2 linked regions of the Daphnia pulex genome follow. The protein of the gene in region 1 binds, or shares a complex with, the protein of each later gene. Links are inferred from orthologs where the notes say so. Each region holds a gene or a part of one and is shown on either strand. Other genes may lie near its edges. The genes, in order: exosome complex component RRP42-like and exosome complex component CSL4-like.

The links.
Region 2: exosome complex component RRP42-like (region 1) and exosome complex component CSL4-like share a complex: the UniProt entries of both Homo sapiens proteins name them as parts of the RNA exosome core complex. The link is inferred for Daphnia pulex from reciprocal best matches to the Homo sapiens genes EXOSC7 and EXOSC1.

What each region holds. Positions count from the first base shown.
Region 1 is NC_060020.1:2,134,573-2,151,690, reverse strand, and holds exosome complex component RRP42-like, read left to right. Parts: upstream 1-7,886; 5' UTR 7,887-8,030; exon of another isoform or gene 8,031-8,093; 5' UTR 8,094-8,139; coding exon 8,140-8,196; intron 8,197-8,318; coding exon 8,319-8,515; intron 8,516-8,585; coding exon 8,586-8,751; intron 8,752-8,818; coding exon 8,819-9,013; intron 9,014-9,074; coding exon 9,075-9,230; intron 9,231-9,287; coding exon 9,288-9,389; 3' UTR 9,390-9,499; downstream 9,500-17,118. Other genes in the region: cysteine sulfinic acid decarboxylase-like, read right to left, coding at 1-100, 170-404, 509-837; uncharacterized aarF domain-containing protein kinase 5-like, read right to left, coding at 9,500-9,602, 9,660-9,827, 10,351-10,594, 10,708-10,878, 10,939-11,104, 11,166-11,297, 11,373-11,531, 11,616-11,976 and 1 more; uncharacterized protein LOC124192348, read left to right, coding at 16,333-16,344, 16,412-16,525, 16,592-17,059; 1-phosphatidylinositol 4,5-bisphosphate phosphodiesterase gamma-1-like, read right to left, coding at 13,739-13,909, 13,980-14,087, 14,165-14,208, 14,273-14,368, 14,432-14,549, 14,618-14,760, 14,828-14,942, 15,016-15,247 and 3 more. UniProt on the Homo sapiens protein: Non-catalytic component of the RNA exosome complex which has 3'->5' exoribonuclease activity and participates in a multitude of cellular RNA processing and degradation events.
Region 2 is NC_060026.1:7,107,737-7,124,083, forward strand, and holds exosome complex component CSL4-like, read right to left. Parts: upstream 9,890-16,347; 5' UTR 9,871-9,889; coding exon 9,735-9,870; intron 9,675-9,734; coding exon 9,556-9,674; intron 9,461-9,555; coding exon 9,391-9,460; intron 9,335-9,390; coding exon 9,156-9,334; intron 9,073-9,155; coding exon 8,866-9,072; 3' UTR 8,837-8,865; downstream 1-8,836. Other genes in the region: mitoferrin-1-like, read right to left, coding at 2,810-3,136, 3,515-3,616, 3,685-3,746, 3,808-4,044, 4,224-4,494, 5,159-5,278; protein SERAC1-like, read right to left, coding at 5,799-5,898, 5,964-6,033, 6,088-6,234, 6,306-6,464, 6,523-6,650, 6,749-6,850, 7,023-7,141, 7,249-7,436 and 5 more. UniProt on the Homo sapiens protein: Non-catalytic component of the RNA exosome complex which has 3'->5' exoribonuclease activity and participates in a multitude of cellular RNA processing and degradation events.

The sequences.
Region 1 (17,118 bases):
ACACACCTATTCCCAGAAGAAAACAAGCTTTCTTGATCGAATAATGAGCATCTTTGGAGGTCAGCACTACGAGACGAGGTGATCCAAATGTTCCCGTTTCCTTAAAAACAAGAAAATGTTTGCTTTTATGTTATTTGATGGTTTTATTTGTGAAAAATAAATGACTTACTTTTAGGCTAGGCATAGCGCGATGGCGGGCACATTGAATGCCGTATATATTAGCCATTGAACCGCCCGGGCAAAACACTCCGTCTCCACTACCGTCTGGGAATCCTACCCATCGTCGCATTTCACGAAGAATCTGGTGCTCGAGCAATGTGAAAACTGGAGCAACTTCGTAAGTATAAACGCTGGGATTCAACGAATCTGTGACCCATTGGGCTACAAGTCCGTATGGATCCAGACTAGTTTAATCATAAAAATGATGTAGTTTAGTTAATTAGGTAACTAAAACTTCGAAATCACCCATAATGAGTTAATATAAATATGTACGACTTTTTTTTTTTACCTTGAAAATAGCTGGTTAATGAAATGTGGATGACCTGTTTTCACGCTATATCGTACAACGTTCTTGATTAACTGAACTAGTGTTTCGTCAGACTGCGGATTCTTTGGTAGTTCTTTACCCAGTAAGGTCAACAAACTCTCTGGTTCCATCCATTCGATGACTAAGTTGTTTCGCGATGTTCCCTCAAACACTGCTTCCTTTAAAACAATATCCACGACTTTCCGTATGAATTGTTCGTGTTGCTCTTGGGAAGGTTCGGTTTGAAACCAGCCGATTAAAGCCGGATTTTCCATTTTGCCGTCTGATTTCACTTGATTTTCATTTTGCATTCTAAAAGAAACTGTGAGCGCGTTACCTTGATGTTGAGTTTCTGGCAGGCACTATACGACTGTCGATTTGTGTTTTAGGCACCTGGTAGTTTATATACTCCCATCGTTTTAGGATTAGGAGCCATCCAATTCTGATCGCAACGATGCGTTTGTGAACTGGGCAAGAGGAAAAACCAAAGATAATTAACCTTGTCCAAAGACAGGACACGCTCCAAACGAAGGATTTCCTTCGGAACCAATAATTTACAAAGGAAGACATCAATTGAAGATTTTGTCTTTATTTCACGGCGGTAAATCTGATATGATTGATTGTCAATTACTTCCGATCAATTAAGCCTTTTTATGGTCGGCTTTTTTTACGCAACATAAAAATTGCACTGTGGGGCGCACGCCGCTAGAACAGTGAGACTGATTCATTTTCCAAGGTAATTTCTTTCTTTTAATCTTATTCGACGATAAAGAAAGTCTAAAACCCAAATCCCAAACAACTTATCTGTTATCCTGTCTCTTGGTTTGTGATTCTTCTTTCTGCATAAAAAATTGACATAAAAAGATAGTCAATTGGAGCATCAATAAAGGTAAAAGGTGTGCTGAAGTGGCGTGATTTGCTAATTATAGACATTCTATAGACTTGTCCTGATTTTTCTCTTTATTCAACATTCTAACAAATTTTTATTTATCACTTTAAAAATTAGTCGTTAAGCTGAACATTGCAGTCGGACCTCGGACTTTTACCGCTTTAGCTGATTGCCTGATTGGCTGATTTGGCTCTTTGCTAACTCTTTGCTAACAAATAACCGCTGCTGCTGCTGCCTTACAGCCACAGGCAGGAAAATTATTCTTTTCTTCAGATGTAAGTTTAATTTTTTGTCTTGACCCCCAACACTTTCTGTTAATATTATAGATTTTTATGTTGAAAGAGTTAAGAAGTCTGAAAAGCTAACTAAAAACTTTGTGTATTTGTGTCATAGGAAAAGCTGCTGGAGTAATCTGGTGTTGATGCTCATTACATTCATTTCGTGCCAGATTGCCAGCTATTGAAAGCCGAAAGGCATGTCGAATTCAAGTTGAGCTGCTGCGTGCTGTCTGGACTCTGGAAGCAAGCAATCCAGCCGTTGCGTTCAGTCATTTGAACAGGAATCTAATGGCTGTCAATAGGTGGCTGTCAATAGTTGGCTGAAATGTCCACCAGGTAGCGCTAGTGTCTCCAGGGACGCATTTCGGCCATTTTGTTCCAAGACGTAGCAGAAATGGGTTGCTGGTCGTGACATTTCTCACGATGAAAATTGAAAGGGTATTTATTGTTAATTTCCTATTGTTATTGCATGTAAAATGTTGATGTGAAAATTTACAGGTGATTTAGCATGTGGAAACCACTTTGCCAAGTCATTCAACTCAGACTTGGAAGTGCCTGTACATTGCCGAAATGGCGTGCCTCGTGTGTCTCGCTGTCTGTTCTTAGGCGTATGTCTCATCCCATACAACAGCAAAAAGTAATTAGGTTAAAGTCTATTTTAGCCGACCAAAACCTTACTTAATTCTACTTTATTTTTACTTTATTATACTTAATTTTTTCCTTAATTCTCAATTATTACTACACTCACTTAATTTACACTTTACTTCACTTCACTTCACTTTACTTTACTTCACTTTACTTAAATACGAGAAATTTCACGTACAACCTCTCGTTCCCTACCGTGTAGCAGACTGGCATCCTGTCAATATTATTAAAACACTGTTGCCAAAAATTCATAATTAATACATAATAGTGAAATATTATTTAGTTTATTTATTTTCACATCGAAGCAATGTCGATTAGCACTGTGGTATAGCACTGGATTAGAAATTCATGGCTCAGTGGTTCAAATCCGAGATCAGGTGAAATATATAAATTAAATTATTTTTATTTTAAAGTAAGGGTCAATCAAGATTTACTTTACTTTTTATTTTAACGTTATATTATTTTATCCTACTTTATTATGAAGTTCATTGTGCCATATAAATACAGCTTTATTCAAATTATTACAGTTTACTTTATTATGATATAACTGTAAATGTTATTAAAACATTTTGCGTATCGAGGAAGTGTCGATTAGCGCTGTGGCATAGCACTAGAATTCTAACATAATGGTTGGTGGTTCAAATCCACGATCGATGAAAGTAGCATCAAATCATTATAAACTTTACTGTATTATTAACAACTTGTAAGTGGCAATCAAGTTGTTACTTTATATTACTATACTTTATTATTCATATAAAGGTCATGGAACTTTACTATATTATATCATGATGAAGATACTTTACTTTACTTTATTATGATTTTGACGTTTCATGTATACTTATAAGATAAAGTAAAGTATAGTAGGTTAGGTTAGGTTAGGTTAGGTTAGGTTAGGTTAGGTTATATTAATAAGTATAATATGGCTGAAAAATTTCGATGTTTGTTGGCTGTTTTCGTTAACAAATCATTTAGCGTAAAAAGCGTAAGTTGAAATGGTGGGCTTTTGGGGGACAATCTGGATAAAAATAAAAAAAAGGGGGGGTTGGGGGGGTCTCCCCCCCACAAAAAAAAACATTTTTACTGCGATTCATTGCCAAACACTGCACATTGATAAAAAATTTACTTTTATATTTAAGTTTATCATGTGTTGCGTGGAAAACTTATCAAATAAAATTTAATATTCAAAGTATAAGTATGGCTCAAATTGTGATGCATGCAACGTCTGAGAATTTCCGTAGCAGACGACACCTGAATTAGTTTGATTTTTGACGGTGGTAGTGCAACATCTCAGGAATTAGACGGGCGTATTTTGACTAGACTTTTTGTAGCTAATAACGACTCAGAAGTGTATCACAGATTGTTCGTGAAACCAAAAACTCGCCATCTTAACTGCAGAATTTGGGATTTGCTTTTACGAAGAAATCATGTTGATTCCTTAATAAGGGACATAGAGTTGTGCTGTTAAGTTCGTTTTGTATTGCGGCAATTGGATTACCTTTAAGTAAATAAAGTAAGTGGTATTTTTACTTTACCTATCTAATTCACTTTGCTTTACTTAATCTAGATAAGTAACTAAGCGGGAATAAGCCCGAGCATACCGTAAAAATATAGTTGTTTTTGGTTATAGTATAGTAAAGTATAATGAAGTATGGTTTGATGCTTTATTATACTTTATTATACCCACCCAAAACCCCTGTATTTCCTCGCTACGCTCGGGCTCATTCCCGCTTAGTTACTTTTCTAGATTAAGTAAAGTAAAGTGAATTAGATAAGTAAAGTAAAGTAAGAAGTTGGTCGGGTAAAATAGACTTTTACCAGTAATTATTTTGATCAAATGTCTTGCAAAAGTACCATAGATTTAACATTGACTAACAGATTTAAGACTTCAAATGTCTTGCAAAAGTATCATAGATTTAACATTGACTTTAACAGATTTAAGACTAGAGAGTAGACCAACTTGCTACGCTACTATAGAAATTATGAATACCTTGCCTTCGTAAGATTTTAGATCAAAGTTATTCTGTTGGACTGCGTAGTTTTCTGTTACCCTATGTATTCTTTTATATAATGAGTATGCATGTGTACACAGTTGTGTTTCTCGAAAATAATTTTCTTTTCTTGAACAGGTATAACAAACACTTCTTTAATGCTGGTGGTTACCTTGTTGCAGCCAAATGGTGAAAGGTGTGACGAAGACAGAGTGAGTCTTTGTATGCAGCATGCGGGTGCAGTGTAATCCAGAAGTTGCTGTGCTGTTGTAGCTGAGCTGTTCCATCTGGGTTCCTGACTTCAAAATTTTTGTGTTGTCGTTATGCCATGAAATTGCTCTGCCAGTATTATTTTGTGTTGCCGAGTTTAAAGTTTGATCTGTTGTCTTTTGAGTTTTCATTCAATCATGCAGTATACGACTGAGGCAACCTGATCAATGTCAGGTTTGAAACAGTTGAGAACTGCTAGATAAAACAAGCTTTCTGCACCAAACAAATAATAACTTGCATATAACTTGCATCATGTTATTATCGCGGTAGAGAAAGCGACAGGCCCCCCCCCCCTGGGGGCCACAGGAAAAATGTATATGATGTATGTAAAATATTATAAAAATAAATTTTGTATGCAATAAAATATTCGTATCAATCTTTTTCGCGATAAAATTTTTAAAATTTCGTGTAAGGGGAATTTTTTTAAATTTTTTTTCAAAAACAAAAGTCTAGACTTAGCAGAAATAATGGAAGGTGGACTTTGAATTTTTCTGAATTTTTCAGTTTGTTGGACTTTGATTTTAATGAGAAAATAATTTATAAAAAGGAGTTTAAATTTTATTGAAATGTAAAAATTAGTTTGAATATTTTATCAGTGTATTTGGCAAGATCAATAAGTTTACATATAGCACTCAGAAATATTTTCACACATCATGCAATTATCGGCAGGAGAAGGTATTTAAGGAGAAAATAGAAACATGTGATTTATCAATTAATCTTGTATTTCAGCAATCTTTCACAAATACAGAGAAATACTTCAGAACTTAGGTGTTTAGGTCGGAGCAGTGGTGATATAGTAATGAAAATTGCAAAATACATATGAACTTAAGTTTGGTAGTTTGGAGCAGGGCAATACTTAAATTCGTCGATGTAGTGAACTAGGCAGCGTACGTAGTTGTGTAATAAGCGGCTTCTTCGGTGTAGTACTTGGGGGCTGCGGTGTAGCGTAGGCCGTGGTGTAGTGAACTGGAGCATCAGTGTAAACGTAGTACGAAAGAGCAGCTTTGGTGTAGCAAGTCGGAACTGCGTAATACTTGTCCGCCTCAGTTGTGGTTGTGTAGATCGGGGCAGAGTAGTACTTTGCCGCTTCGGTGTAGTATTCGACTGTCTTGGTGTAGAAATCAGCGGAAGCCTCGGTGTAGCAGCTGGGAACAGAGTAGTATTTAGGAAAATCGGTGCAATAAGTAGCTGAGAACAGGGCAATACTTTAGAAGCCTCGGTGTAGTAGGATAGGCAGTATATGTAGTCGTGTGGTGTCATCCATCGCCTAGATGGTGTAGTAACTCAGAGCAGAGTAATACTTCAGGGCATCAGTGTAGTGAATCGGGGCAGCGTAAGTTGTGGTATAAAACTCCGGTGCTTTGGTGGTGTAGTACTGGAAGACCTCAGGGCAGGAACCGGTCGTTGCGTAAGTTTAGTAGGAAGGCGGCGACGTTGCGGTTTGATTTCCGCCATACCAAGGAGACATCGCTACACCAGCAATCAACCCAGCCATCAACTATACAACGCCCAACAGGAGCACGACGCCATAGTTGACTAAACAAAATAAATTGAAACATTAATATTAAATAGTAACAGGCATATTAACAAATAGAAAAAAATATTATTGATACAAAACTCAATGTAAAAATAAGAATATTTACCCATGATTGCGAATCGGTTACACGATGAAGAAAGCAATTGGTGGTCCTTTTTTTGAAGACTCCTTTAACGCACAGTAATACTTCGGGACGTAGGTGTAGTAGCTCGGGGAAGCCAGGTTGTAGTGTAGTACTTGAGCGCTTCAGTGTTGTAGTAATGCGGGGCCTCGGTGTACTAGGCAGGGGTAGCACACATAGACGTGTAGAAATCCGGTGCCTTAGTGATGTAGTACTTGGGAGCCTCGGTGTAGTAAACTAGGCAGCATACGTTGTTGTAGGCGGCTTCTTCGGTGTAGTACTTGTGGGCTGCGGTGTAGCGTAGGTCGTGGTGTAGTGAACTGGAGCATCAATGTAGTATTCCTGTTCAACGTAGTACGAAAGAGCAGCTTTGGTGTAGCAAGTCGGGACTGCGTAATACTTGGCCGCCTCAGTTATGGTTGTGTAGATCGGGGCAGAGTAGTACTTTGCCGCTTCGGTGTAGTAATCAGCGGGAGCCTCGGTGTAGCAGCTGGGAACAGAGTAGTATTTAGGAAAATCGGTGCAATAAGTAGATGAGAACAGAGTAATACTTAGGAGCTTCGGTGTATGAGCCTCGGAGGATGGGGCAGCATGCGTAGTCATCTTCCGTCGCCTTGGTGGTGTAGTAACTCGGGGCAGAGAAATACTTCAGGGCGGCAGTGTAGTGGCTCGGGGCAGCGTAAGTTGTGCTATTCAAGTCCGGTGCTTTAGTGGTGTAGTACTTGAAGACCTCGGTGCAGTAACTGGTCGTTGCGTAAGTTGCTTTTGGGTAGTAAGGCGGCGGCGTTGCAGTTTGGTATCCGCCATACCAAGAAGACATCGGTACACCAGTGGTCGACCCAGCCATCGATGATTCAACACACAACAGCAGCACTACGCCATAGTTTGCTAGACAATTAGCAATTTTAACATAAATATTACATAATAACAGGCATACATAAACAAAAGAAGGATTGATACCAAACTCTACGTAAAAGACAGAATATTTACCATGCGAATTGACAGACAGAGCGCTGCAGTTGTTGCCGTGTCGGAGATGCTCCCTCAACTGATTTACCTTCGCCTTTTCTCTCGCCTTTTATACGATTTTTTCTCACCCTCACCTCTTAAGCCTTGCGGTTATTTTACCTGCTTGATAATGATGCTACACGTGTCGTTCTCACCCAGCCTCTACTCCACTGCATGACACGTTTTACGTAAAGATCTCCGTGACCTTCAAGTGTGACTGTCCTTTCCTTTTGCAGGTCGGACGTTGCTGGGGATGGGTCTACAACAACCAATATCAAAATGAATACCAAATGGTTGTGTAAAACGTCTCGTTCTCACCCAACCTCTACACCATTGCATGACAAGTTTTACATAATGATCTCCATGACCTTCGAGCGTCAAGGACATGCAAAAGCTGGCCTTTCCTTCTGGAGGTTGACGTTGCTGGGGGGTGGGTCTACAATCAATAACCAATATGAAAATGAATACCAAATGTTTATGTAACACCAAGGGTTTGGAGAGGTCTCTCCATGCCCATGGTAAATGGTAACACGTATAATGTAAAACGTATGGTAACACGCATAAAATCATGTATAATGTAAAAATAAATGGCGTGCAATCAATGTGCGTACTGTAGTAAAAAAACGCAATTGGCAAATAAATAAACCAATTAAATCTGTCTTTAGAATCTGAACCTGACGGATGTCCGACAACGTTGCCCTAATGTAGCAGACAACTGTCGAGTGCAGACATATACAAACATACTAGCTTGAAAACTAGTAAGGTCTGGTAAGGTTTACAGTTTACTTACATTCCCGTGGTATTTTGATTAAAGTCATCTGCGTTTGTTAGTTGTTACTGTTTTCTGTATCGTTGGTTACCTTTGAGCTCCATATCAATGGCAGAAATACTTTTAAGTGAAGCTGAGAAAGCATTCATTCATCATGGTGTCCAGGTATAATTAAATTCTGTCGGTCTTGCCAGTAAAATTTTTTGGTCTGTAATACTTAAATCAATCAGCTCTTATAAAAATAAATTGTCCTTACTTAACAAAATTCAATTTTTGAAATATCCAAGGATGATTTACGATGTGATGGTAGAACAAGGCTGGATTATCGCCCTATAATTCTTGAAACTGGATTAGTTTCAAATGCCAGTGGATCGGCAAGGCTGAGACTTGCAAACTCTGATATTCTTGTTGGAGTTAAAGTAGAGCTAGCTTCCCCTTTACCTGATAAGCCCAAAGAAGGAAGGCTGGAGTTCTTTGTGGATTGGTCTGTTTAAACAATAAATATAAATAGAATTTAAAAGTTTTTATGTTAATAGTACTTTTTGTTAATTTAGCTCTGCAAATGCAACACCAGAATTTGAAGGGAGAGGTGGAGAAGATCTGGCAAATGAAATTTGTAGATTCCTTCAAAGATCTTATGCTTCAGGTGATACAATTAATTTATCTGAACTTTCTGTCTTGACAGGACAGCAATGTTGGGTCTTGTATGTTGACATATTGGTAATGCTGGTGTGATATTTCTACCAATCAACAATTTCTCATGAAATATTTTATGGCATTAAAATAGATTCTTGAATGTGGAGGGAACCTTTATGATGCAGTTTCATTGGCTGTGAAATCGGCTCTTTATGCAACACAAATTCCTTCTATTAAAGTAGCAACTATGGACGGGGATCAACCTGAACTGGAGCTCTCTGATGATCCTTATGATACCAAGAGACTGAACACAGAGAACATTCCTTGTGTAGTGACTTTGATGAAGGTTTGAAAGTTAAAGTTTTAATTTTGAAATATTTAGTCGAATACTGTGTTTTCACTTTCAGATTGGAAACCATTACCTAGTAGATCCAACACCAGAAGAAGAATGCTGCAGCTCTTCTGGTATTGTTGTGGCGGTCTCAGGCAATAAAAAAGTTACTGCCGTTAGGAAAATTGGCTCCGGAAGTTTGCATCCAGACAGCCTGGTGTCAATGCTCAAGGTTCGAAATTTTTCTATTCTTTACAATCCCGCAGTCTAATGTTTCTTGTTTGAGTAGACGGGAAGTGAAGTAGGCGCGGTGGTCAACACAATTTTGATGAAAAAGCTCCTAGAAGAAGAAACGTTGGAAGTATCCCAAAAAGTTGGCTTCATGCGGTAAATGTCTTTTAACACAAAAGGATATATAATTGAATATTTCAAAGGAATTCTTGCAATTACAAATTTCACGCGACATTTGTGTCCTGCTACTAAATACAATTTCTAATGAAATCATTCAACCATTTGTACGACAATTGTCATATCAGGTGCACGACCAAGCCAAAATAACACACGAAGGCCCCAAAAGGTGAGCCTCATCTGTGTTTTATCCCACCTGTTAAAAAAAATTCACTGAGTTATCACGTAAATGAAAGAGACATCTTAAAATTACCACAATCGCCAGTCAAATAGAAATTGTTGCAAGACTCCTTGTAGACGTTGACCAAATGAAGCACCAGGTACGATGAAAAATCCTCGAGTAGCACTTCTGGCCATCAATGTATAACGATCGACAAGACTGCCATGGTCTTTGGTTATTGCCCTAACTGTATTTATGTTCCTTTATAAAAAAAAGGAAAAAACAAAACAAAACATAAAATAAATCTGTTAATTTTAACTTAGAAAGCTGCCCTTAGTTAAAACCAGTAGGCTGATACAAATTTATCAATTTTGCTGCATCACACAGCTCTCTAAGGATTACAGCTTATTGTTAATTCAATATCCAGTATTACCTAATAGTTAAAAGCATTGTTCTTGGCATGGAACGAAGGTTATTCATGATCATGTCGAAACGCTGCCCCGCCATTTCTTGCATGTATTTCAAATCAGTTTCAGAAAGTTGATTTAAGTTGGATAAAGCGAATTTCTGATTTCCGATGGGTCTTTGAAGAAGCATTTCAGCGAAGAGCAAATAGTCTATACAAAAAAGACCGCGAAAGAGTTTCTTCGTTTTATCTTATTTAAAGTTTCAATTTTAAAACAATTCTTAAATTAACGTATTGATGCAGCAAAATTGAGAATCTGTTGTACGCTTCCTGACCTAGTTCTAGACCAACAGACCAACACTGCAATCAACTAAATACCTAAAAATGAGCATCAATTGAGAAGGCATGGCCCGGAAGCTATCCATCATCCTTTCATGAATTTCATCCATTTGAATTCGAATTGCTTGACGTTGTTCGGTTGTCATCTTCTGCCATTCTCCTACTTTCGGCCCCTTGTGATCGTAAAACGAAGCAAAGACCTGATTCACTGAATCGTGTTCAGTTGGCCATGGTGGCGCTGAAATATAGCGCTGTGACACGGCCATGCAGAACAATCGGTAATCTAGTCATAATACAAACCCATTCCAACTTTCAAAATTGTTACGAGAAAAAATTTGCCTAACGAAGTTTCAAATGACAACGGAAATACTGATAATAGAAAGAGAAACTACTAACCATTCACTCCAAGGGCAGCGGCATGATGCTTCATTCCGACGTGATCGTTTAGCACTATTGAAGACCACAAACGACAAAGAGATTTGCGAACAGTAGACGGAAGCTCTTCATATAATCCGTGATCCAGCAAAACTATCTGTGCGTCGCCTTTTTTCCCTCGACGAACTAAGACTACAAAGAGATAAGTAATTAGAGTCTCACTGAAACAACAAGAACCAATTCTTTGATTACTGTTTCCTGGGTGTGGATCAGCATGGACAAAACCAGTGTGAAAAATTTGTTCTGCAAACATTTCAACCAGTTTGTGGCTAACATCTTTTATTGAAAATCCTGCTTTTTCTAGACTGCCTGTATCACTCACTTTAATCCCATCGATAAACTCTGTCGTTAAGACTCGCTAAACAGTTAAAAAAAATTTATAATATACCCTAACGAAGTGAAATTAGTGCATATATTACCTTGCTAGTCAGATCCCAAACGACATCTGGGACATAAACATAAGGCAACGATGACAACTCTTTGGCACATCTTTCACCATTGTGTCCTTCATTGACAAAATCGAGTTCTTTACAAAGAGTACCCTTCAGATCCTGCATTAAATATACAAACATATCTTTAACCTTAATACATAATAGCATGATTTTTACTAGTTGTTTCGTTCGTACCTTGAGAACCCATTTAAATTCAAATTTTGGATGCATCCAACTGATCAGTTCTAGTAGCAATTCGATTGTAGCAATATCACCATTGAACCGATCCTGCAAGTCAATATACTGAACCTTTACAGCAACTTCTCTTCCATCTTTGCATTTGGCCCTAAACACCTGATCAAAAATTCTGATTATTTACACCTGTCCCTGCAATCTATGCAGTCTATTACTTAATCTATTACAACTTTATATTTATACTTGAGCCAAAGAAGCTGCAGCAATAGGTTCTTCATCAAATGCCTCAAATAATTCTTTATGGTTCTTCCCAAATTCTTCTTCAAACAACTGCCCAATCTCAGTGGCCCCTCTAGCAAGACATTTGTCCTGAAGCACTTTAAGTGTATTAAGATATTCTTTTGGTAAAATGTGATTCATGGAAACCAGGCCTTGTCCAAGTTTGATATACAATCCCCCATTCCCAAGACAGCCAGCCAGAATTCGGTCTGCAGTTCTTTGGTGTGTTTTCTTTAATTCTTCCTGATATTCAGCAGAGTCTTCATCAACATTTTTCAATGACCACCAATAGTCTGTTGATATGGTTACTCCTATCACAAGGGATCTTGAAATAAAATTTTAATTATGCTAGATTTCCATAAATAAAAACTTAGCTTATAGTACCTCAAGAACCTTCCTATTCCTTGAACTGTTACTCTGACTTTGCGTTTTTTTTTGTTGTCAGCTTGAAGATACCAGATCCCAGGAACAGCAAAAGAAGCTCCAAATAAAATACTCCATTTATTCTTAGCTACTTTTACTACTTTAACATTAGTTTTTGATAAAGAACTACACTTCCTTACAGGTTGACTATTTGTATTTAGATATATTGACTTAAATAGCTTAATAGTCTTTAGGGATGAAAACATGGCTCTCTCCAAATCTTGATATGGAATAAAATAATTGTTTTAGAAAAAAGAGTATAATCTAAAAACTATACAATCTTGAATCTTTCTTCGATTCACGCACTTTTTAAATCAACTCTGTTATGCAATTTTTTTTGTCTGCTAAATGTGCTATTCTGCAATTCAGTTACGTTACAACGGTGTCATACCACCATAGTTCTTTACAGAATATTTATTAAAACTTAATAAACAGGCAAAACAGCTATAAAGAAATAAGCCAAAAATTTAAATAGGCTAACTGAAATGATTTTTCATTATTCTTTATTTATTTGTTTTTTTATTTTGAAAGATTTTTTTTATTATTTTGAAAGTAACAAAAACGAAATGACAACAATGGTTTTTTTTAGTTGTTATTATTTTGATTTTTTCTTCTGCTAAAGAATAAAGACTGTGGTATTAGAGTTATCAGAAATATCAAGCTACTATAAAACGTTAACTTCAATGGCTGGAATAACAGCCGGTTCAGCATTAAGAAGAATTTCTTGGAAATGTACCGGGTATTGGGACATATTCTCGAAGCAAAATACAAAAATCTTTCCTGCCTTAAAATTCTATTCAACAGGCAAAAATGGTGATGTTAAAGAAAAGAATTACATCCAAAGATTTCAAAAGCTTGAAAGTGAACAAAGAGAAAGTCTTTCAAGCAGACTACAAAAAGGCATAAACATTGGAACATGGAAATTCTATGTTCAAGACCTTGTATTAAAAAACCTCAAGCCAGACATAGTGCCCTTGTCTTACAGAATGTGCTATCGGAGTGGACTTGAGACTTATGCCAACTTTGGCATCTTGACAGCAGCATTGACATCTGTCTTTCTATCAATAACAGTACCTTTTTATCTTTTCCATCAAGGATCAACATCTATCCCGTTTGAAGTAGCAGGATTCTTTTTTGGTGGTGTAATTTGTACATATTCTTTGTTTAGTGTGTCACGTCAGGTTCCACTTCGTATTTATTATTCTGAAGAATGTAATGATTTCCTTGTCTACATGCCTCAGTTTATACCATATGCCACAAAAAAACTAAACATTCAACCTGGTCATGTTAAACCACCTACTGGAACTTCAGATTACTTGCCATGGATAAATCTTCAACACACACACACTCAAACAAAGCAAAAGATGCTTATTGATGGTGAAAAGTTTATATTGCCAATGTATTATAACAAACTGATGGGTTATCATTAACATGATTGTAAATCAGCAGCATTCATTAATAAATATGAATAAACCACTTTAAATCAATTGAGTATATAAAGGCACCCATTCGATAGAGCACTTGCTGAATAGTCAAATTTTTTTTCATTTTAACCATCAGAATATTCACAAAAACATTCTGATGAAAATATGAATGACTGAATGCTCAATTATAACCCCATCTTTCCTTCATATTGACTTCATGGAAATCATTTATGAACATTGCTACTTTTCACGCGTACGGTTAAAATCTTCAAAAATTTGGGATTCGATTTCTTGGAATTCGGCGCGAGCCTCTTGCTCAGCCAATGCGTCACCCCGCTCCTGAGCGTCGGTAATTTGGTTTCTTAGGTCACGAAGCCTGTCCCTTTTCAACAACACCGAACTCCCTTCATCCTGCAATGATGATCAATGTAAATAATATAAGTCGAACTTTTTCCTGAGTGAGCAAATTATGGTTTCCTACCTTTCTCTTGTGGATATCCAGAAAAACTAAAAGTGATGCCATTTCAAGAAGTTCACTAAAGCCATTTTTTAGAGGAACACTTCGGAATCCCCGACGAATACACAAAAGCTGGGAAAAATAACATGTATAGGTTGATATCAAATACTTAGGAACTAGGTAGCTAAAATAAAAATGATGAAGGTTACCGGGTATGTGGCTTGTGCAATAAGATGAGAATCACCAAACATATCTGTAAAAATGAATTTTAAATCTTAGAAAAAGTTTTATTTTATTGCTTGCAAGTAAATGTTGACCTATATCGTATACGGCGAATCGGAGGAGTGCCAGAGAGGGAGACGCAACTTCTAACTGAAAAGTTTCATCCCAAACAGGATTAAAACCATTGTCAGCTGCGGAAGAATTTTGATCATCAGAAAAATAACAAAATTTAGAATTTTTGGCTTATACAATACTTATGATCTTTGTGGTGTGTTTGTTTATGTTGTCTTGTTGGCTGCCAATAATCTCAATCTCTACGCAAGGACTTACTATCCCTCTCTTGGATTTGGTCAGGTGACGGGCAGCGATGACCTGAGTGTCATTAATATGTCATTAGAATTGTGGACTGGTGGGGATTGTTTGATTCCACAAAAAATTACCTTAACAACGACAATTAGAGGATCCTCTGCAGTCTGCAAAGGAGATTCTAGCGAAGTATTTTTCAACATAAAGCTTGGCTTCAATACATAGCCACACTTGCCGTTTTGCAGAAATTTGGCTTCATTCAACTGCATACTTTTATCTTAAAAAAAAATGGCAAGATTGAATTATTAACAAGATGTAGAATAGTGATAATATTAATCACGAACCAGGAGTCTGGTAATTTAAAGCGGCCATCTGTGAGCCAACGTTCCAAAAAGGAACTGGGCAATAATTACTAGAATCAATTCGTTGTCCTTTAGGGTAGACACGGCTAAACATTATCTAGAAAATATTTATAGGCATACCTATACTAATGTTCTATTAATGAAAATGTTGTTGCTTCATATAAACTTACTTGATGATACCAAAGGAAAAATTTAGGGTCTTGTAGCATAAACTTTTCAGCTTTCTGTTCTGGGAATGAGGACATTTCATACGGGTTTCGCCCATCACGCGAAATACGTTCTTGATTAAACGTTACGGCTCGGCAGTACACAATAATGTCTGAAAGCTCTTTAGCAATTCGCCACGTTAATTCTATTTCACGATGAAAATTTTCGCGGACGCTACAACGCTGTGCGACACTCCTTAAAAAACAAACAAGATTCAATTAACAACATTACAATTCCAATTTGAAAATTCGAGTAATACTTGATCGTGTTACACCAATCGATAGCGTCTTCTTTGGAATCACAACCCAATTCGATAGGCTCAGAGTGCAAGGGTGACTTCACTCGCAGCAGCCATTCGGGAGCAATTTTTCGAGGATTGAGGTCTGGAGAAGTATCGGGTGGTGATTGGGATCTGGGATGCAATGCCACCAACTCAATTACAGCTCCCGCCACATCATAGCTTCCTTTCTGTAAGCTACCGAGTGGTGTAACCTCTGTGGACTGTAAAATAAAAATCATAATAATTAATTCAACATTCATCTTCTTCCGCCAATGAATTGATTACGTTCTCGTTTTGAATTTCTTGGGTTATGTCAATTTCTTGTGTGTAATTAGCCGGGAAGAGGAGTTGCCGCCGTCCTCCATAATCGCCCCGCCACCATCCGTTGTCTTCCTTTTTCACGTTATAAATGATGGCGTGTTTGCAAAAACAAAGTTCGTCATCCTGTTGGCTACGGTAATCGTACAGAGCTTTTACGGTCACCTGAACAAGAAAGTGAATTAGTAACACAGCTAGACGACTAAATCAAAAAAGAGTTTGATTTTACCCCTGTTAAAGCGGTTGAATCCATGTAATTAGGTGCGTCTTCTCCATCTTGTGGACTCTGGAAAAGAAGTTTAATTTTTTATTTCAATAATAATTATTGTATAATTCGATTTTAACTATTAGTTTGACTCTGTCAAGGTCATGTGTTTTATTAAACCTGCTATTTGTATGACTTGTTTTGTCTCGTCCGGCCGACGTGAAAATAATCAAATTATAAATTGCCTAGACTGAGTCGCATCCGTTTCCGGAAGTTCAGTGTTCGGCTTTTCCAAGTGATCTCGAATTCATGCTGCGATCAGCAGACAACGACCGAAAATTTCAAAACAAATTACCGGTTCAATCTCAATTTTCACGGGCAAAGGGTAATGACCACTATAAGACGGGCTACATGGAAAGTATATAAGATCGAGTCAGGTACGATAACCATCACCAGTCTTGCCTTCCAGTCAATAAAATGAACCGATCGGTAATATAAAAAAAAAAAAAAACTAAATTTGTCAATAACAAAGATTAACAATGTTACATTCTTTCAGTTGGTTTTGTTCACAATATGCATTGCTGCCAGTGGGATCAACGGCCGTCCACAAGCAACGCTTCCTTTGTTCGGCACTCCCTTTTCACCGGTTATTATTCCTAATAGACCACAAGTATAAAATATTTTCCTTGTGTTTAAAAAAATCGTATTGAAATGGCCTTATTTTCCCGCTTTTTAGTCTATCTACATGAGGCCAGGCGAACAGATAATTTTTTTAACAGATGGACTACCAATGAATTTCAATGGAGTACCAAAGCCATCGATGCAGATGCCTATGCCGATACTATTTCCTATGCCTGGTCCTCCGCCTAGAGGCTCGTATTTGCCATTAGCTCTTTGGCCGTATTTCAACAACCAATTCAACTCTCCCATGGGTTCAAATGGCTTGTACAAACAGCGTGCAACTACACCAGCCACTTCTATTTTGTCCGAGAACAAAACAGAAGTTTCCACAACTATTCAAACTGAAGTAGTTTCAGAAACCCCTACAACTGCTAATGAATCACTAGTTGATTTAACATCGCCAAAACCAACCACTGTTGCAGCAGTTGAGGTAGATCAACAGGTAACTCAGTCACCTACAACTAATCCAACTTCTGCGGTTCCTACAACATCGCCAACGTCTTTGATTAATCTGACACGCAAGGTAACAGTTTATCCTCGCCTTGCACTCGCAAATGCTTAAATGAAAGAATTTAATTTCTA
Region 2 (16,347 bases), on another chromosome or scaffold:
AATGAAAACTAAAACAACAAGAAAATAAGGCCAAATTACGACCAGATGTTTCCCCATTGCCTATTCCGTCATTGGGAAGTGAAGCCTGCAGTCCAAAAAAAGGGTTAAAGAGAAAACGCTCTCCCTTTCTATACGGTGACGCCATGTTGTTTATTTTTTTTTTCCCGACCGTCTTATTTTTCTTGTGGGCAAACAAACAAAAATGGGGACGAGAATGTAGGAACGCAAATAAAACCATGAATGAACAATGACATTCAATGGGCTGTGGCCGAGAAAAATAAAAAAGGGTTAAGCTCTTCCTAGTAATAAGACTCTTTCATGCCACATCATCATCTCTCTCTGTTTCTCCGCTTTTGTGTGTGCTGATTTGTATTATATTTTTGAATTTTGTCATGAGATCTGCATAATAAGTCAAACGGCCAGCAGCCAGGAAAGTTGCGAACAATTACCAGCACTTTTGCTTCGTTCGGGACTTCGGGGGATGAAGAAACAATTTGAGTTCTAGATGATGATGATGAACCATCTTTGTCTCTCGTCGCTCTCTCTCATCTGTTTACTAAATTCGACTTACTTTTGCGCATTGAAATCTCTGTCGAAATATTAAAACGTTTCTCTCCTTATTCAGGTGGTGGACTATTGCGCAACAACCCAGTTCTTAGTGGCCACCGAATCGCCATTTTTCCAGCCATTCCTGATCATAACTGCGCCACTCTTTTTATTCCCCTGGCCAGTTTTCGGGAACGAGAGAGAGAAACACAACATTAGACATTCTTACATAACAAACCTACCGACAGCTGTTGTCAGTCCTGTCGACTCCATATGGCTCTTTCTATTTCTTGTTGACTCTTCTACTCGACGTATTCGTACGCCTCTAAACACAATAATATCATCAGTTCTCTTGAGGAAAAAACAAAAAAAAAAGACCAGGGTTAAGTCGATTGTTTTCCTCATTCGTCCTTCCGCCCTATCTGGAGATTGCGCGTCCAGCTACAAAGAGTCGTTCCAGCAGTCGTATGGGAGTCTGTGTGTGTTGGGCACAGGTATGCAGCCCGGCCTTCGAGGCAGAGGATCTGACGTTGAAGGTTAAACAGGCGTAGACAAAGTTCCAGTGGAAAGAGTTTTTTTTTTCTTCTCTCCTTCTATCGCCATCCATCCGAACGCACCCGCGCGCTCCTGGCACGCTCGGGGTGAGACATGAGACGCTTGCGTGCTTGTGACCGCAGTTATATGGGCATGGCTCTTTTTTCTTTTCTTTAAAAATCAAAAAATCTTTTTCTTGTCTATTTTCAGCAGCAGTCGCGAAACATGCGACGTAGGCAGTTTTCTTTTCCTGAAATTAAAAAAAAAACAAAACAAAGACTAGAAATAAAAGAAGAAGTTTTAATTCCAAGGATCAAGTATTTATTGATATAGTCAACCGTTTAGACGAGCCACTCTTGGATGGTCGTAGACTCTCTCTATTACACAGCGTAGGTTAGCCTTCTAAATAGCACACGAACCCAAACAAGCCTGCTAGTAGAAATCGATCTTTTCCTACATTGATGCATTTATTTCTTCGTTTCGTTTTCTAGTCGTTATACATTTCCGTCAATACTATGCAAACAATAGACTCTTCCACTTCACTTCACCCCCTATACCTTCTGATGAACATCAATTTCAGTAAACCGTCACTGGGCATTGACATCATTGAGCGACAGAAGGCTTGTAAAAAAAATAAGGGGAGTTGGGTGTGGAGGAAACGGGTGATAATTACGTCACAGTATCAATAAAGTAAATCCAACAAATTTTGAACTGGGTCTCATTTAATTTTTCTCCCGTTCTCCTACATCATCTGGAATGTGAGGAAAAAAAGAGTCGATTAAAAAAGGATCCCAACACCGAATTTTAAGAAAATGTGTAGGAAACAATCTTCAAATCTAAAAGGCTGAAAAAAAAACCGCACCATTTCGAACGAGGCAACTTAGTTCACTCTGGAACCCAAGTGCCACCTAGCGGCCAGACTTTTCAAAGGCCAATAAATTTTTTCTTGCTTTTTCTAATCTAATTTGGTTAGTTATTTTTTTTTAACACACTATCACTGTGATAGAATAACTTCATCGTTGCTTTCTGCAAGGAAGTGTTGAGGTTATTTGAAGAGAGATTGTTGTGGGACTTGGTATGAAAGAAAAAAAAGGAAAAAAAATGATTTCCCCCTAACGCGAAGCGTCCAAAGTTAATAAACAAATGGGAAAACAGGAAAATAGCATCACAGACTAGAAGACTCAGATCTGGAAGGACTGCCTCATCTAAAGGCTAATCACCCCAACGAGGCAACAGCTGCTTCGGAAATGGATAAAACGTAAAATGAACAGTGAAAAAAGAAGGAGGGGGAACAATAACAATTAAAAAAAAAAAAAAAAAAAGGATACAAATAACGATATCGTTACGGTGCTCCTACAGAATGATTAACTCACATGTGATAACATAGACATGATTTCCGAAGAAGGATCCAAAAGAAGGCAGCCGGGATGTATAAAAGAATTGAATGGGAGCTATCAAAATAACTCAACGTACTTTCTTTAACGACAATTTCATATGGCATCAAGAATTCAAGTAATTTTTGTGGCTACATTTTCTGGTGCAAATTTATATACGTAATGCCATTTGAGTTGTCGCTAGAGAAAGATGTGTTTATTAATTTTGACAGATCTTGGGAACGGAAGAGAAAGAGAGGCGTGACCTAGAGATTGGGGATTTAATTGGGGATACTTGGCGATTTTTTTTTTTTTTTTCTCATTCTACTTCTTTGCTTTAGAAGGAAGAAAAATATTTAAACAGCACCCAAGGCACGGGCGGCTGACAAAGCAGAGCTGGCGGCAGATCCGGTTGGAAGTAGGTCCTCTTTTATGAGGACGTGGCCAGCCCCCAAAGACACACCGCCAACGATAGCGTTGTTAGATGAGACGTCGTTCAACGAATTGAGCGGATAGCCAGTTCCTGAGCCTCCGCTGACCCTGTCGGATTTTTCATACGTGACTCCGCCCCCTTCTCTTTGGTCGTTCAGTCCGTTCTTTGTCAAAAAATATTTGAAAAACTCGTAGACGGACCAGCAGATAGCCGTCGAGGGAACTTGAAACAATACACGCGCTTGCAATCCCTGAAAACAAAGAGAATAAATTGAGAAAATTTGGTTAATAAAATGTCGCATGAATTGATTCGATGTTATCATAAAAAAAAAACAGGCACTGTGCCGAACAAACGACAAGCAAGTTCGACAAACAGCTCAAGGACTCGGGTTTCTGGGTGGCACAACGATGAAGCGATTTCACATTTCACGCAACTCGTATGACTAACCTTGTTGGCAACAAAAGGGGAGGAAGGTGAATAGGAAGGCAATGCACCATTGCCACGGAATCGAAATTCGACGCTTACGAGTTAAAAAGGCTGAGCAATTTGATCCATAGATGTATATAGGTTGATTTTTGAAAATTAACTGGTGTGGACCCATAAAGAAGAAAATTATTAAATTTTTCACCTGAAAGAAGCCGCTCACACCGCCCAGTCGGTAAACCATTTTGGCGGCGTTAACAAATCCACTGATTTGCGTCTTCTGCGCTCGCTGCAGAACTTCAGCCTCCTAAAATGATTTCAAAATTGAGATTTAAGTTCAAAATGAAATCGAATGTCTGGAAAACAAGGAATTACCTGAGTATTCAACAGAGTTTTGCAGACGTCAAGCGGCGTGGTAAGGGCAGCTGCAAGGGCTCCTATGAATCCAAAATGGATAGTTATTACATATCTCCTACAAAACATGAATAATAAGCGCACCTGAAACTCCACCCGAGACGACGTGACCTAAAGGATTGTAGGTGCGTTCGGGGTTGGTGGCATTTTGCATTGCCTCGTACACGATGAAGTGAACACACTGGAACGGCACATTCATGGCGAGTTGCGTGCCGTAAGAGCGATAAAAGGCGGAAAATCCTTCCGTCTTATAGACTTTTAGGGCACACTCTGTCATGGACCGGAAGGGGCTGTTGTACATCTGCAATCGCTGCTTCACCACTGTGAGCGCACCCAAGAAAAAAGAAACAAATCAAATTACATCCATCACATTTGATATGATGTACCTAGCAGGGGATTTTCATGTTAATTTTTTTTTCAAGGGAAACACAGTCGGTCATCAGATCATATGGATTTGTCAAAGCTACACGCATTAACTTTGTCGGAAACGTGATGGATACCTTCCGCTGGCGTCATAATTCCATCATGGAGAACAGTGGCAGCGGAGGCAGCTGCTCCCTGAGCCAAGTAGTTATGATGTGCTGAGCCTGTCGATGTGAAATCAACTTTCAATCGCTCATAGGCAGCAAAGTACAAGGCGTGAGCTGGTCCAGCTCCGGCCACCGTGACTCCAATTCCGCGAAGAGGTCTCAATGCCCCTTCATCTCTCATCATAGTCACCAGGACTGACCCGAGACTTCGATTGGCGCTAACAAGACTCTGTAAACGGGTCTGCATGAGATAAAACAGTATATTAATCAAATGGAATGAGAGGGCACTTTTGAGAAATATTTTGAAATCTTCCAAAGTTCATGTTTTTATTGGCTTTATCAACATTTCACACACACTGCTAGCTTCGGATGGCCAATAGTAATCATAAACATAGAACCGCGCTATCAACCCCACTATCATTATCAGCTGTCCGGCGTACTAGCAGTGCAACTTGAGCCACAAGTTGATGTGGAAAGTTTCGACTGAGAGACACAGGTCACAGTGATAAAGCTACATCCTTCGTCATAAGCACACTCCCGGATTAAGATATGACCATCAAATAAAATATTTTTTCGCCCATTTCGACTTTTTACGTTGAGAGAAAGTATAAATGTGAATAAGGCGTAAATGTAAAAGGCATAAATGTGAATAAGCCTCCAAAAAAGAAACCAGAAAAAATATATTTGTTGTCTAAAGACAGGTTATTATGAATGCATCCAATATTTGATACCCATGTCCATCACATGCTAGCATACTGAATAAGAAATTTAGGGAAAATTCTAATTATGGAAACATGGAATGCATTAGACTAGTACAGACTGAACGATAACTTTTCTCCCAAGTCCCACCCAACTATATAGTTATTTGGCTCAAAAATTAAGGTTTAATGTCTCATCTAAATTACCTTGACAGAGTCGATTGGATACATTACACAGTGCTCTAAAACTCCAGCCATGGAACCAGCAATCATGTGTGTAGTGGAATTCGAGGTAGGCAAAGACTCGTATTCGTCGAATTCAGCCATCGTTTACGAGAGATAAACACTGGAATGAGTGAGAGGATGAGATTGACTTCGATGGTTTACCATCGAGAGCGCTCAATCGAATGATAGAGCTTCTTCTACTCCTTCGAATTTTCCAAGGTTCCTTTCGTTTAGTAGTCCTGCTACTTTTCAGTTTTTACTTTTAGTTGTGATCTGTACAAGCAGACGACAGTACACAACAGCCGCCCAATGTTGCCTGTAAAATAAACACGTGGGTATCGGGCTTTCGAGGATTCTAAAATATAAAACTCATGACAATAAATATACATATAAAAAAAATTATGTATTACTAATTTTAAATCCAGCTTCTCATTTTATTTTGTCCAAAAAAATTTGTCATGAATTTAAAATTGTAAATACACCATGTTGAGTATTTTCAAATGGCATTGCCAGTTATTCTTATTTTGGCATTATATCTAAATAGTAAATAATTTGATACATTTTAAATCATTTGTCACTTTATTCAAACATAAATTGGTACTAGTTGAATGGTTAAAATCTCCTATTTATGTTCAGGTAGTGTGAGAACTAGATCTTTTGGTGGAGATCCTACCCGAACTCCCAGAATCAGCTTAATAAGGCGCTGGTAGATAAATGAATTTCTAAAAAAAAATAAAAAGATTCGGATGTTAAACAAAAACTTAAGACGATAAAGATGAAATTATACCTATTAAGAGGTTTACAAATTTCAAAATGGTCAACAGGTAAATAATGAACTTCACCAGCGGAAAGTAAATCTAAAAATCAAGAGATTAACAAAAAATGTATATACATATAAAGTATGGGTTTACCAGCAGAATTTGGTTCCACAAATTTGAACTCAATTCCCCATGGTTGTACTAGCGTTGCTTTGGTTTCCACTAGACTGACAATTCCTATTGGGAATTTTAGCAACAAGTTCTTGAACTCTAAGTTCAGATTATCTAGTATGTTAGAGCCTGCATTGCACAAGAAATTCTCTGTAGATAAAGAAACAAAAAGTAGTATTACAACATTGTCTTTTACTCACCTTTCCTTAATTCTTCTACTTCTACAGAAGGAAGCAGAAGGAAACGCGCAGGTAGATTCAAGGTTGCTACACTTGATCCGTCGTGTGGGACGCTTAACATTAACAATGCTTTTGTGTTCCTGACTATATTCTGTAGCTCAGGATCAGTAGATTTCGAAGCTAGGGAAGAATAACAGCTAGTGAATATTCCGAAGAGAGCGGATCCACAACACCCTACCGTTAATTAGAAGTTGTTTCAATAGCAAGCCTCCCATGGAGTGTCCAACCCAAACAATAGGTCGACCTCCCACTCCAGCTAGCTTAAGTGAAAGCAATATTTGGTCTGCTCTAGAATTGATTGCACTCCTATTGTAATAAATGATTTATAACAGGTTAAGATTTCTACTTTGTCTCAAAGCAACCAATACAAATCCCCCTTATTCCGATTTTTATGCTTCCATTACCTACGTGCATCATCCGGACATCGACTCTTCCAGTGTGACAGAGAAGTCGCATAATCGACACCTAGAATTCGGAGATCAGGAATGTCAGCCGGTAACCAGTCCCTGTAAAATAATAAATTCCCATTGAAATTAGTAAATAAATAAAGATTATAAGGGTGTAGCGGGTCAACACAACCTCCTCTTTTATGGTTAATCTTAACGACTCGCACATGAGTAATCATAAACTTTACCTAGTGAGCCAGCATGACATCATAGCTTATTATTATTATTATACCTTGGCCAGCATTCGCTATAGTCGCTATTCATGCCGAGTAGTTCACTCTGCCGCCAAGTCCATCCCACCCCTCCAAGAAGTCCATGAACGAAAATAACATCCATGCTCCATTTTTTTGCCTGTCGAGTGTCGATGCGATATATGAATGAAATATTAACAAGTAATGTAAAGAAAATTAGTAAACATTTATGAGACTAGCAAAACATAGCGTAATTTGACCAACTACATTTTGTCTAACGCAAGGTTTCTTGCTTTCATCCTTATCCTCGTACAACGGATGCAGCAGGTAAACTGATCTATCATATACTCCACATTTGCGGCTATTTTGGTCCATATTAGCTAGAGCTTTTCCAGCAGCTAAATTTAGAGAAGCATGTTGAGGACCAAAAAATTCTGCTAAAAGGCCAATCCAACCTGTTTAATTTTTTAGGTTAAGTTAATTTTTTACGTAAAATTTATTACGTTTTAAATTCTTATACAGTATACCTGATTGAAAAATCTGATGATGGAGCTGAGAGAATAAAGAGATGTTCACAATTATATTAACACACAATGCTTTGAGCGCTGCTTCCTTGTTGAACATATGCACGACTCGCCAGAGCGCGACAAGAAGTCCATTTTGCACCATTAAAATTGAGGATTCGAATGAACGAGACAGTTCCAATAAAGCTTGTAAGTACAGCTCTACGATTTGAACAATGTTTCCCGGATGTATAATTCTAGCAGTATCAGGATCCCATCTAAGATTGAATTCCTGGAATAACAAATGAATCATATTATACAAGTTTCATCAACTACTACATAAATGAAATACTTACTTCATCTTTGTCTTTTTCAGTAATTTTTTGAGCAATGCTAAGAAAATATGTAGCACAAGTGTGTTGATTGGAGGTAGGAATTTTGTCAAGAATGTGGTTTAACACATCTTCTATGGGCTATAATAGAGGATATAGGATTGTTTAAAAGACACATCATTTATAAGCTTTTAAATATATAATTTAAAACCTCAGAGGTTGAAATTATGTAAGCAGGGGGTTGTAGGAACAAGTTTAGGTTAACATTTTTTGTTCTTGCCAGTTTGACACTAACCCTGAAATCACATGCTTGGGCAATTTGCTGGGATAATCCAACTATATTATATAAAGAATAATCAGCAGTTATTTTACACTTTATAACCATAACCATAATCTGTAAATAATATATTTGAAGATACCATTATAATGTGAAGTAGCCAATGTTTTTAAAGCAGTGGAGTGTTCTTGAGTATGAGAAGGGAGTTCTGATTTAAGAATTCGAAGAAGATGCCAGGGATTTGAATCAAGACCAAGATGTGTTGGTCCCTTCATAAGAGTCTCCACCATTTGTTCAACATTTTTCAGTTTAGAGGTCATAGCATGAATCTCAGTTTCAATTACAGTTTGAGGAATAGCAATATAGCACCCAGCCTTTTGACGTTCTCTCTCAACTGCGGCATCTGACAATAAAGATGAAAACCGGCGGTTTAAAGAATGAATTTGGTATGCCAGAGTAGTTCCTCCTCTTCATAAAAAAGAAAAGATACATTGTAGTTTTCTATATGCTGATTACAAGAACTCGCTAGGAATTGAAATACCCAATTATAAAAATGACAGCTAGAGATTTCGGCAAATTTTTCCATTTCACTTGGCGATGTTTCCTCATTTTATTTACATGCTTGAAAAAACTATAAGAATATAAATTATGATTAGAAAAAAGGAACTTGGAGAAAATGAAATGAATTGAACAGAAACGCAAGCAGTCGACAAAACACCAATAAAATAAAATCCGAAAAGCTTTGTTGTCAAATTTCATGTATTAATATAATCTAGACGCCTGTTGCATTTTCGTTTGAAATTGTTTCTGGCGAAACTTTTGCAACTTTTCTCAATTCTTTAACATAAGTTTTTGGGCACTGCATTTCTTGCCATCCTACTGGAACCATAGGAGTACCTTCTTCACTGTATGCTATAACAACACCCAATTCATTTTCTGCTGTTGACAAAACATAGGAATGTGCATCACCTAATGAGAGCTAACAGCAACATGAAAAAAAATTTCATCTTAGAAGTCATACTCACTTTACAGTTGAAATAATGATCAAAATCAAATAATTACCACTCTTGCTAAAATAATGTCATTGGGACGAAAACATTTGTACATTTCAACCCTGTCCTTTTCTGTAGCACGCACATCTTCTTTCCTCAGCTGTCCTCTAAAGGGTTCTGCCAATACAATGTCCTTAACACACAAAATGGCACATCGTGCCCAGCGAGGATTTATTTGTGTTACTCTGGCTATTTAAAGGTTTAAGATGAAATTCACAAAATTCAACACATAATTTAAACAGTACCTGTAACCACATCACCAGCAGATGGAACAACTGTCTGTTCTTTACCACTTCTAACCTCTATCAGGATTCTCTAGGAAGAAAAGTTTGAACATAATATTCGGAAGTTCATTATTTCACACCAAATGAATTGTTTCACTGATCTAATTTCACTGTTTAACCACTAACCTTATCAGGTTGTGAAGTTACTTTAACAACACCTGCTAAACATGATGTGATATAACCTTGTCTTGTGTAAGTTCCGGCTCCTCCAATATATTGGTTATCCGACAGACATATGCGTTGTCCTGAAAAATGCAAACATTTTATCAAAATGACAACTAAAAAAATATGTTTTTTAATATTACCGGGAGTGCATATTACACATTTGTCTGATTCTTTATTCGTCATTTTTTTCGCACACCAGAACAACTTCGAAGTTAGAAAAAAACGTCGACTGCTGGGCGGCTCACGGGTGGGGTTCGTTAAGTGTGCACACAGCATGAACTACTCTAATTAAGGACGGTATATTCTTCGGCGTTTCCTATGTCGGCCATGTAAATTTTTTTGTGGGAGAATCAGAATCAGAATTTAAAAATTATCATAGAATTACCATATGTTCCTATAGGGCTCTTCGGGATCTGTTTTATTTAGCCGATTTATCTGGCAACGCAGCATGGTTCGAGACTTTTTTAGGGCTAGAACGGGGAGAAGAGGGAGGATGGGAGGAATGGGAGGGAGGAGGGTGTCCTCCCATTCTCCCTCTTCTCCCCGTTCTCGCCCTAAAAAAGTCTCGAACCATGCTGCGTTGCCAGATAAATCGGCTAAATAAAACAGATCCCGAAGAGCCCTATACCTAACATTTATTTTTATAGAGATATTTCCAATTCCTTAACGAAAAATTTGAAATAGGGCAAAACACCAGTGCCATCTAGGAACCAAACCTCCTAAGCTCTTGTTAGTTTGCAAGCAGATGCCCATGCATGCATACCGAGAGAAAGAAAAAACCACTCTCTTATCTAGTCCTCTGACATAGCTGCCTAACTATATTTTACCTTGTAGCGTATATTCTTAAGAGCTTAGGGTGTTTGGTTGCTAGATGGCACCGGTGTTTTATCCTTTTACCCCTACTTCTGAAAGTAAATTTATAATATCTTAATGATTAGTTTATTTCACTAAGATTTATATCTATAGTTGGAATCAGCAAAAAAAACTGAATTTAATGATATTTTTTATTAATGTTTTCATGAAAATACCCCACCCGACTAGCTTTAACAAGGCAGGATAGGCGAAGAATCCCGTCCTTAATTAGAGTAGTCCATGCACACAGTCAATCTCCCAATAGACGTTGCCAAAAGTCACGTGATGCCACATTTTACCCAATAAGATGATGCCTTGAGTACTCTCGACCATGCCTACTCTCGACATGGTACGGAAAGTGTGTTTAACAAAGCCAGGGGTATGGAAAGACCCCCATACCTTTCTCTCCATACCCCTGACAAAGCTGCCATGTCCCAGCAAATTGCGTGAAATCTATTGCCATGCCGGTCCGACAGGGCAATAGCCATAGAGAGCTATTGCCCTGTCAGTGCTAAAACCGCCACCTGGCGACGGCTATTGGTAGCCTTTCTGAACCAAGAACAATCTTAATGGTAAAACTTTTAGGTTTGGTTTGGGTTTTTAAAATAAGATGCATAGGGTAAAATTACAAACAAATTTTATGACAAAAATTTTATTTTTTCGAAAAACACATGTCACGATATGATGTCAGCTACCTGCGTTATTAGCAAGGTATCCGAAGGGATGTTTATGATTTTTTTTTCATAAAAATCAATCAAATAGCATATGAGAAAGATGAACTTCAAAAGAAAAAAAATTGTAGCGTTTTTGAATCCATATGAATACTATGTAGAATTAACGACTAGGAAAGTTATAATTTAATATGGAACGTTTAATATTGTAAAGTTATCCCAGAAAATTTTTCATTTAATTTGTTTTCTTATGATTATAAACCTTAATCTGGAATAAGTTAACACGAAAATAATTTCTCGTTTTTTTTTATTTTACTATGTTTGGATCCAACAAAACTAGAGTTAAATTAAAGTAAGCTATTGTATATTAATTATGGATATTTTATAAAATTTCGTATCATTATGGATGAATAGTTTTAAAACTCGTTTATAGTAAGACATTTTTGAAAAACGCAACGCATTTGTTGGGTTTTTACCTGGTTTATTTACAACAACAAAGTGAGTCACCCTTAGTCTCCCCCCTTGACCTTGTTCAGTTGGTTGGTTGAAGGTTGAGCCGGAGTTCTCAGAAGTCAGAATGGGGTGCGAGGGGTTGTTAACGACCTTGAATAAACATCAACCAGCAACGTGACTCACCCTATCGACCTTTTCTGCAGATTGATTCCCACGTAACGTGTGAATCAAACAAGAAATACATAGGCTACGAAAGATTTGAACTACTTAACCGACGGGACTCCCGTTCTTCCGTCTCCCGTTTTATGCAGAACTGGCTGCGCATGGTTCATCGTTCACCCTCTTACGTCTGAGAGAATTAACGGAAATTCAATAGTCTAAAAAAAAAAAAATCATGAACACAGGAAATATTGCCGTCCTGCTACTTTAAAAAAATAAAACTGGTTCACGCCTGTTGCACTGAATCGTTCCACTTTGAATGCTTTTCTTCCCCCGGGTCGATTATTTTTTAAGCACTTCAATCACCGCATATTAATTAACAAAATAACATTAAGTTATATTTTTTAAACAAGACGGATAGTTCACTGAATTTTAATGATCGATCTGATTCCGTGACATTGAAATCTTTCATCTTTCTACCTATGTATTCCTGCGCCAATTATATTTTTTAGTTTATAGAGTTTCGTTTATACAGTTTTAATTAGTGTCCTGCCTTCGAATTTTACACAAGAGTGTGTTTACCGTCACTCGTGTACTATCTCTCTCAATTGATTTTTATGATACAAGAACCACCGAAAATGTTTTTTGCTTGTGTAAAAGATCACCCTCTCAATCACTGATTTGTGATTTGTGATTTTTATGTTTGATCCACTGATTAGTTTTCAGATTTCCGCGATGATTTCTTTTCACATTAAAGTGCACCGTGTCTTGTATAGCGTTTTAACTAGCACGTCCCTTTAACCTTTATTATGCCTTTTTAATTGAATGATTACTTTTTTGCACTTATTTGCACTGAACGAGATGAAACAAAACGCTTACTGTTATTACGGTTATCTAACCTGAGAATTCAGTAACAATCGTAGGTATAAGAATCATCATATCCATTATAGTTTGTGATGGGGACATAAATTATTCCACATACATGATAACACTCACATGATTCGTGAGTCGTGAACGATACAATTTAAGAAGGTGTAATAGGCCTTGACTAAAGAAAAAATGCAAAATGCAACATACGTAAAGTAAAATGCAATAGCCGTCGCTAGATGGGGTTATTAACACTGACAGGGCAATAGCCATAGAGGGCTATTGCCCTGTCGGACCGGCATGGCAATAGGTCCGACCTCCACCAGAAAATGTGTTTACACGGGTAAAAAAAATTCAAATCACTATTTAAACATGTTCTACATACACAGTAATGTAAAATAGCCGTCGCTAGATGGGGTTTTAGCAACCAGTTTTTAACGCTGATTCTCATAGTATTATTATTTTATTTTTAAAATTATAATCCCCCCGTAATCTCTCTTCAAAGATGAGATAAGCTCCCCCCACTTTAAAACGGACCCCACACCATTTTTGGTGGGCGATCTTTAAATGTGATCAATTTGCAGACGACCTTCACCCAAATAACCCTTTTCGTGCTGCCTATGGCTACCTACAACCCTCTTTTGCCTCTAGGGCGTAAAGGCGAAATGCGGAAAGGCTGATTTGGATTTGAATGATGGTCGTCTGAAAATTGATCACATTTAAAGGACCGCCTAGCGAACATGGCGGGGGTCTGTATTGTTCTGCGAGGGGCTTATCTCAACTTTGAAGAGAGATTACGGTAGAAAAATATAATAAAAAAAAAAATAAAAAAAAATGCGAGAATCAGCGTAAAAAACTGATTCGAATGATTATGATCTCCACCCGATCCCTTATTCATGCAAAGACCCTTTTCGATGGATAGGGAAGTTGTTTAGAAAATATTCATAAATTATGAAAATATTTTATTTTTATCTACCATTTGATGATGCATCTTTTGGTAAAAAACTTTTATATTCAAAGTGTTGTTTTCTAATTTTTTAAATGACCGATTTTAACACTGTGCTTATGGCGGGGAAAAGTGGGTGTACTTAATTGGTAAACGAGGATGTAGAGACGTGGGGTTAAATCTGATCAAATTTGTAGATCGTCTTTTCTCCATCTCTAGCCCTTCAAAAGTTGTTCGAGTTGCAATGAGACACGTAGCGCAACAAGAATGTACTCGCAAAACGAAGGGGAGGGGTGTTTTAAATTCGTTTGATACTGTAAGTATTATTAAAAGTTTTAATATATAATAATTTAATTTTTATAATTACTCCATATATTTTCCAAATACAAATTTTTGATTATAAATTGCTTTAAGATCCAACAGTACGATTTTGTCCGGGTTTCATACTTACAAAGTAAGAACAAATAATGCTCATTAAAAAGTCTGAATTAAAATTTTTATTTAGGGTATACCCCCTTTTTTAGCTAAAATGACAAAATGAGAAAAAGTCCGTTCCGCCGATAGACGTTTTTACTCCTTTAGGGGGTAAGTAGAGTTGGGACCGAAGGCTGTTGTGCTTTGCTATCACACTGCTAGGGTGCCGAACGTGACACACACCAGGCTGACAGATTCGTAGTATACCTAACCGAAAGTCATGGTTACTCGTGTGGGTTCTTCACCATTTCAGTGGAAAAGATACGAAAAAGTTTTTCTTGATTCAGATGATGATTGGCTGTTGTGCTGTGTGTTAAACCGATCGGCCAGAACACGTGACTAGCAGACTAATAAAAAATATCGCTAGAAAAATCACACCCGCCGCAAACAAAATTTGCAACAAAGTCATTTTTAACAGTTATTCTACCGTTGATTGTTCTCTAACAAAGACATCTAGTGGGGAAACAATGACAACAAAGAATCAACTAAAGACGAACCCTAACCAAGCGTAAGAGTTGAACTAACCTAGCGTAAGAGTTGATAGACCCAAGATAAAATAGAGGGTTTCTGAATAAGCGGATCAGAATAATGAAGAAGGCATACTGGATGCTGGATCGACGGTTAGACGAAGACGAAAAGATGACCATTCCGAGGCCGCAGCGTCAGTTCGACGAAAAACGGATCGGCGGTTTGACGAGGAAGCGGATCGTCGGTTAGAAGAAAACGAAAAGATGACCTTTTGGAAGTTGGATCGTCAATTAGACAGAGAAGGAAACCAGAAAAAAGACAAACCTTGAGAGACCTTAGAGGCTGGATCGTAGGGTAGACGACGACAAAGAGGCCGATTGACTGGATCGTTGATTGAACGGGGACGAGGAAGAAAATGGATTGAGGAAGATGGATAAGGAAGAAGACGAGGACGAGAAAGAAGACGAGAATTAAAAAAATGAGAAGAAAAAGAGAAGACGAGAAAGAAAAAAAACAAACTGGGGTTGGATCGTCGGTTACACGAAGAAGAAGTAAAGGAAGGCGGTTTTTTGGATGAAGGACAAAGAAGAGGACGAGGCTGCGAAATAAGAGGAAGGCGACGAGGGCGGTTGATGCTTTCAGATAGGCTTGAAAGGGGGATGCCACGTTCCGTGTGCCTATAGAAAACACGGTGTGAGAAAGAGACCAATAATCGGATTTGGGCTGATGACCCAGTTATAATCTAAGAGAAGACTTAGGTACCTTCGAGACAAAAGGGTTTTAATAAGTTTTATTGAGTGTTGCATATTTTTTCATAAATAATGTTCAATTAACGATCGTGCACATTTCATACAAAGTTAGCTCTCGAATGTGTATTTCCATTTCTTTCGGGCAGCAGTCTGCAAACCGCGTTTATCTATTATTGAACTGACTATATATGTTTACTGTTTTTCGTGTATTAAAATATGGTTTCAGGTAGCTTACATCCTGTTTTTATGACAGCTGTGTCCAATTTCACATGGATGGAGATTTAGAGTTCTCTGCATTTACTCATTCTAAATTCATGTCGAATAAATCAGCCATTTGTTGGTCTAGTTTAGCCATATGGTAAGCATGTCGTCAAAATATGCGCATTAGGTACCCGATGTATTCAGCAGTTTTTAGGAAAGTAGAACGAGAGATTAGCATTTTTTTGTAGAATTACTCTTTTCCATATTTATTACTACTTGCTAGTCATTGGTATTTCATATCATCTCAAGCTCTCTCAAACCACACTTCAAAATGAAATGGTTCTCCATTTTCTTTATTAAAGCTGTCTGCTTTATCATAATTGGGGTAAGTGTTTAACCTTTCAGATCTGGTTGATTAGTTTAGTCCACGAGACCATGACGGAATGAGACTCATTTATTTATGTCTTAAGTTTGGCCTTTAAGTTTAATAACTTAACTTTTTGGGCATATTATAATGAAAGCCTAGGGTACACTCGAGCGTTTTTTTAAGGTTTGTGTAAAAATAAAAAAAAACCTTAAAAAGTTCTTAACAATTTGTCTGTCTTCGCTTTCAAACTGCCAAACTTTTTTACGTAACCCATATTTTCAAGAAATATGTAGATAAGAACTTAAAAAAGCTTAAAAAATTCAAAACGTTTTTAATTTAAGCTTTTTAAGGCTTAAATATTACACTTTTTAGTGGACAGCCAATGAATTGCTATTAAGGAATGAGATCAACAAAATAATTGTTACCACAGTTTTTGTGCGCGACAAAGTTTCTTACCCGTCCCACGGTTTGAAGTGTGGACTCAATTTAAAAAGTTTTCAAATAAAATAAAATGTTTAATATGTTTAAGAAATATTTAAGATTTTA